Caenorhabditis elegans: one gene and its partner. The protein of the gene in region 2 binds, or shares a complex with, the protein of the main gene of each other region. Each region holds a gene or a part of one and is shown on either strand. Other genes may lie near its edges. The genes, in order: spcs-2 and spcs-1.

Evidence for each region.
Region 1: spcs-1 (region 2) and spcs-2 share a complex: the UniProt entries of both Caenorhabditis elegans proteins name them as parts of the signal peptidase complex.

Annotation. Positions count from the first base shown.
Region 1 is NC_003281.10:12,873,031-12,876,283, reverse strand, and holds spcs-2 (Signal peptidase complex subunit 2), read right to left. Parts: upstream 1,254-3,253; coding exon 1,173-1,253; intron 1,119-1,172; coding exon 657-1,118; 3' UTR 501-656; downstream 1-500. Other genes in the region: cec-7 (Chromo domain-containing protein), read left to right, coding at 1-60, 112-417; mrg-1 (Mortality factor related protein 1), read left to right, coding at 1,630-2,124, 2,184-2,332, 3,253-3,253. UniProt on the Caenorhabditis elegans protein: Component of the signal peptidase complex (SPC) which catalyzes the cleavage of N-terminal signal sequences from nascent proteins as they are translocated into the lumen of the endoplasmic reticulum.
Region 2 is NC_003279.8:10,681,686-10,684,820, forward strand, and holds spcs-1 (Signal peptidase complex subunit 1), read right to left. Parts: upstream 1,364-3,135; 5' UTR 1,356-1,363; coding exon 1,260-1,355; intron 1,204-1,259; coding exon 1,048-1,203; intron 1,003-1,047; coding exon 937-1,002; 3' UTR 787-936; downstream 1-786. Other genes in the region: lonp-1 (Lon protease homolog, mitochondrial), read right to left, coding at 171-262, 312-413, 466-687; sdha-2 (Succinate dehydrogenase [ubiquinone] flavoprotein subunit, mitochondrial), read right to left, coding at 1,693-2,091, 2,143-2,332, 2,376-2,643, 2,688-3,135. UniProt on the Caenorhabditis elegans protein: Component of the signal peptidase complex (SPC) which catalyzes the cleavage of N-terminal signal sequences from nascent proteins as they are translocated into the lumen of the endoplasmic reticulum. Dispensable for SPC enzymatic activity.

The DNA of each region.
Region 1 (3,253 bases), on a different chromosome or scaffold from region 2:
GACCGTATTTTTAAAGGGATAGCAGATGGTTACCGAGCTCCAGTTGTCACAATGCGCAAGGTACTGCTCAGAGAATATTGAAGCTTTAAATAATAAATTTTGCATTTTCAGTCCGCTAGAAACCATGAAAAATCCACAGAGCCTCAAGCGACGAAAGAGAACGCTCCGCGGCTAGTCGGAAAACGTAGAGAACAATTCATAATCGGTGAGCAAGTCACGTGCACACAGAACGGAAAGCCATATGACGCGTACATCGTTGACATCATAACCGACACTGATGGGAAGGATTTTTACTGCGTTCACTTCAAAGGATGGAACAGCCGTTACGATGAGAAAATTCCAGTCGGCGAGGAGCAGGGTCGATTGTTCAAGGGCTCGGCCGCGAAGTACGCAGAGATGCTCGAGATGAAGAAGTAGATGGGATCTGCTAATAAATTGTTAAATTGCTAAAATTTTGTGTTTGTTAATTGTTCTTTTCAAGCTATTTGTACAATGAATTCTTACCGAAATTGACAAGTTCATATTGTATAAAATGCTGGAAATATTAGCTTTTGACAGACAAGAAACAGGATAGATGGAGAGAGAAAGGGGCACCCATGAAAAGCGAAGAAAAGGGGAAATAAATTAGGCCAAGAAAACCAGATAAATTAAATAAATTATTGTTCGCTACGAATCAAGCGGTTGTACAAGTCGTCGACCTCCTTCTTCACAAGTGGCACGATGATCTCTCCATCGTTATCGATATAAGCTCCGATAGATTTCGTGATTTTTCCCTGTCCAGAGCGTCCTTCCTTCTTAAACTCGGCCGACAGCGTGTACTTATCGTCGTGAGCCTTGATCTCCGAGCTCCACGCCCATTTTCTCGATTGTTTTCCGTCGACTTCGGTGGCCTCGTAGATGCAGTCCTTCTCGACGTACCACTGATACATTTGAAGAATTCCCATGCATATGAAGTAGGAAACCGAGCACACGGCGAGCACGATTTTCGACTTTGGGAACGGCTCGTAGTAGTCGTAGCCGCAGGCGAACGCGGAGAACGCGACGCCGATGAATGAGATGAGAAGACGCAGATTCATTAGATTATGCGATTCCGTCCATCCGACTTTGTCGTTCAGAATCTGAAACGAAAGATTTTAATTTTAATTTTAATTTTGGAGTTTCGGAGAGCAAACCTTTTTGACGACTTCATCAAGGGCATTCTTCACTGTTGGACCGTCCCATTTGTTCACAACTTTCACCGGCTCGTCCGTCATCTGAAAATTAATATATTTGAGAATAAAAATTGAATAGAAATCCAAAAAAACCCAAAAGAAATGAGCAAAAAGCTAGTGGTGACGTCTCAAAATTGGAAGTCTGCATTATTGCGTCGTGGTGTTTGCGTACTTTTTCGTGCGCGGCGCTATTGCATTTGCTTAGAAAACCGCGCCGCAGGGGGGTTTGAATTGCGAAAATGCCGTTGAGCTTTGAGAAAAGCTTTTTTTTTGTTTTTATCGATAAATTTATCGAATTTTCGATATTTTTAATCTATTTTTTGATTAAAAATCGTTCAAATATACATCATTGGCTAGAATTGCTGCTAAAACTCGCTTAAAACACCAATTAATCGATTAATTTCTTTAATTCCTTCAGATGTCTTCAAAGAAGAACTTCGAAGTCGGCGAGAACGTCGCGTGCATCTACAAAGGCAAACCATACGATGCCAAAATTACTGATATCAAAACCAACAGCGATGGCAAGGAACTCTACTGCGTTCACTTCAAGGGCTGGAACAATCGATACGATGAGAAAATCCCAGTCGGCGAGGAGAAAGACCGCATTTTCAAGGGAACAGCCTCGGAGTATGCAGAGAAACACAACGCAGAGCTGCCAACAACTGCATTGAAGCCGAAGAAGAAAAGTCTTGCGGCTGAAGCACCACGAGACGATCGTGATGACACTCCGGGGACGTCGAAGGGAAAAAAGGCGAAATCGGTGACAATTGCGCCGGTTATGACCGCCGACGATATGAAGGTCGAGCTTCCGAAGCCACTGAGAAAGATCCTGATCGATGACTACGATCTTGTCTGCCGTTATTTCATAAACATCGTGCCACACGAGTATTCAGTTGATCAAATCATCGAGGACGTAAGCATAAAAAAAATTAAAATATCATTTTTTCCGATTTTCAAATCCAACATTTTCAGTACATCAAAACCATTCCGGTCAGTAATGAGCAAATGAGAACGGTCGATGATCTGCTCATCGAATACGAGGAAGCTGATATAAAAATCACGAATTTGGCTCTGATTTGCACCGCGCGTGGACTCGTCGACTATTTTAATGTCACTTTGGGGTTGGTTAATTCGAATATGTTAAACAGATGCATGCAAATTGCACGTAGCCCAATGTTTAGTACCACTGCAACTTTTTTCGAACGAGGGACGAGGAAAAGCGGTTTCTAGCCCATGGCCGAGGGGCCGACAAGTTTCAGCGGCCATTTATCTTGCTTTGTTTTCCGCGTGTTTTCTTTAATTTTTCATAGACTTTTCCCGTTTTTTTCTTATTAAAACTAAATAAAAGATAAATAAATATTTTTGCAGATGCCAAAACAATTTCCAAGTGAAAAAATTATGTATTCAGTCGGCAAGTAGCGGTGAAAGTGCTCAATGTTATATGATGGATTACGGGAATACTAAATCTAAACCTTTTCTGAAACATGGTATATATTCTGCTTAGAGACTGAAACTACCCGATTTTCATCATAACGAGACCGCTGAAAAAGATTTGAGATTTTCAAAATTCAACTTTTTGTGCAAAAATCTCAGAACTTTTTGAGCGGTCTCGTTATGAAAATCGAATAGTTTCAGTCTCTAAGCAGAATAAATGCCATGTTTCAGAAAAACGATTAGGTTTAGTATTACCGTAATCCATCATATAACATTGACCACTTTCACCGCTTCTTGCCGACTGAATACACAATTTTTTCACCTGGAAATTGTTTTGGCATCTACAAAAATATTTATTTATCTTTTATTTAGTTTTAATAAGAAAAAACGGAAAATTTTTTTGAAAAACAAAAGAAAACACGCGGAAAACAAAGCAAGATAAATTGCCGCTAAGTCTTGTCGGCCCCTCGGCCATGGCCTAGAAACCGCTTTTCCTCGTCCCTCGTTCGATAAAAGTAGCAGTGAGTACACATAATGCCCTCCGCTTCGTAGAATAGTCGCCCCAATCCCACTTGAAACAGTTACGATGTAAGGATGAATTGTTTAGT
Region 2 (3,135 bases):
TTATTTGATGATTCCAATAACAAAAATGGTTCCAAATCAAAAATATCAGGCAAAAACTGTAAAAGCATTTCCTCGGGGAGTACACGAGCTCCGTATATCAACACATGACTAGTTTTTCGGCGATTGTTCCATTTTTAAGTCAAGAAGAGATCCATTCAAAAACTACATACTCATCGTCTCTCTTCACAAAAACTCCAGCATACGGCTGTTTCAGTGAAAGCTGTCGCCTGATCAGTGCTTTTAAATTGTCATCTTTCACGATCTGAAATTTTAATTTTCAGTTTTCCGCCAAATACGTTATCTAATCTCACATCAACTTTCTTGATAAATCCTGGAAATAGTGGATATCGATTGATAGCTAACATTGGGACATTTGGCATATCGGCTGGCACTTGAATCGGTGACATTCCTCCCTGAAAATCAATTAAAATCGTCTTTTAATGACTGAAATTCTAAAAAACTTACCAAATCTTTGTACAGTTCCAATGAGTCATCCACAGCGATTGGATCGTCATGAGTGGAATAAAACCTCCTTTCTCCTGAATTTCCTGCTAATTCCATAGATTTCATCATTAAAATCGATTGATTTCTTTGAGAAAATGTGGCAAAGCTTTGATGTGCTGAAGCAGCGGCAAGAAGCCGCGTGCGAGTTGCCCCGCGGAGTAAAACCGCTCCAGCGCGGTACATTTCTGTTGAACGGGGAGTAGGATAGGAGGATTCAAGACTTCAGAATAAAAAAGTAAAATGTGTCGCATTAAAACGTCAATAAAATATTAAAATCGTTGTAGATTGAAAATGAATTTATTATGGTTCAGAAGATGATTCTTATATCACACAGAAAAATGAAGAAGAGCTCATAAATAATTTAATTTAAAATAAATATTTGACCAGATCCCGAGTAAAACGTTTTTCTTTAGTTTTTGCATCATTGCCGATTTATTTCGTCTTCTTTGTCTCCTTTTTCTTGTCTCCAGATTCTTGTGGTTCCGCAGGTGTGTGCCACTGAAAATTAAAACATTTTATACGATTTCTGTAACTTTTTCTCACCACAATCGGGTTCTTTCTGAAGAGGAATGGCCATGGTGGAAGAATGATGAGAGCTGTGAACGCAGATGCTCCCAGCACTGTGAACATGGCATATGAAAGCTGTTGAGTCCAGAATCCAACGAGGAAGCCAATAATTCCAGCAATAGTGAGGATTACCTAAATTTTATTGCTTTATTTTATGTAATTTCAGTCAATCAATTGTGGTTTGTTACCTGGTAAGTTCTCTCGGCGACTTTCTGTCCTTGAAAATCAATATGCGACGATAGTTTCTGCAGTGGAGCAGGGAGCATTGCAATCATTCCGTCCATGGTTAATTATGTAATAATTAAAAATCAAATTCAGTTATAAAAATACAAAAAGATTAAAGCAAAACGAATTCGGAATAATTTTGTTCCAACACTCCTTCATACAATGACGTAAAATAGAGATTTTCCATGGAGCGCACTTGCACATTTCATATTTTGAAGAACATTTGCAAATATTTGTGGATTGAAAACCAGAAATAAATCTTAAATAAGCTTAAATTGATATATTATTAAATTCAATAAACTTTATTCTAATCAGGAAACAAATAAATTTCACACAAAAGAAAAAAACATACAGCTCGAACACAATTATGTGAACAAAGAAGAACAAAACAACGAATTAATACGATCGGACCTTTGGTGGAACCCAGTCGGTTTCAGATTTATCGAGAGTTTTGTCGATAACTGGGCGGTATGTCAAATCAACAGCTCCAGTTTTCGTATCGATACCGATGATGGAATGCTTGCGCCAGTGCTGATCAAACGGTTTTTTCTGCTGTCCCTCAAGTGGATTGCTGTAGTCATATTCGTCAATTCTTTCTTGGAAATCATCACGAGCGTGGGCTCCACGAGATTCAGTGCGATTTTCGGCGGCGACGATGGTTTGATTGGCGTTGATAAGCAAATTCTGAAGCTCGAGAGTTTCGACAAGCTCCGAATTCCATACTTTTCCAGAGTCGGCACACGCCTTCAAATTTTGTTGCTCTTTGTAGATGGAGGACATTTTATCGACTCCTTCCTGAAAATATCCAATATTTTTTGAAAATAGAATAAATCTGTATTTACTTACCTTCAAAAGATCGCCCCGTCTGAAAACAGCAGCATGTTTCTGCATTGTCATTTGCATCTTTTGTCTTAATTCGATAGATGAAATATCTCCTTTTGAGTGCAAAAGTCCGTTCAAATTGTCACACGATTTCTCTTCACAATTTACCGGAAGCTCCGGGATTGAATCTCCTGGTTTGTTCTCATTAAGGATACTGAAATCTTTAGTTTAAACCTGTTCAGATAAATGAAACTAACGTGAGAGCGCAAGATCTTCCAAAGATAACCAAATCTAGAAGGGAATTTGCTCCGAGACGATTTGCTCCATGAACTGAATGTGCTGCACATTCACCAGCGGCATAGAGTCCTGGAATCACTTTATCTCCTCCTTCAGGTGTGAAATCGAGAACTTGTCCCTTGTAATTCGTAGGAACTCCTCCCATGTTGTAGTGAACAGTTGGAATGACTGGAATCGGCTCTTTGGTTACATCCACACCAGCAAAGATTTGAGCGGTTTCCGAGATTCCTGAAAGAAAATTATTAACAATTGAAAACACTAATATCACGTACCTGGCAATCGTTGTTGAAGCTGTTCAGCTGGAAGATGATGCAATTGAAGGTAAATATGATCTTTGTTTGGTCCGACTCCTCTTCCTTCATTAATTTCCATAGTCATGGCTCTTGAAACAACATCTCTTGACGCTAAATCCTTGGCATTCGGTGCATATCTTTCCATAAATCGTTCTCCTTGCGAATTGACCAAATATCCACCCTCTCCTCGTGATCCTTCGGTGATCAAACATCCAACTCCGTAGATTCCAGTTGGATGGAATTGAACAAACTCCATATCAGAATTACGAATACCTGCACGAGCGGTAAGAGCGGTTCCATCACCAGTACAAGTGTGAGCAGATGTACACGAGAAGTAAGCTCTTCCATAGCCTCCGGTGGCGAGGACAGTGTTCTTTGCGCGGAAACGATGAATCTGTCCAGTTTCAATGTCCAGTGCAACGACGCC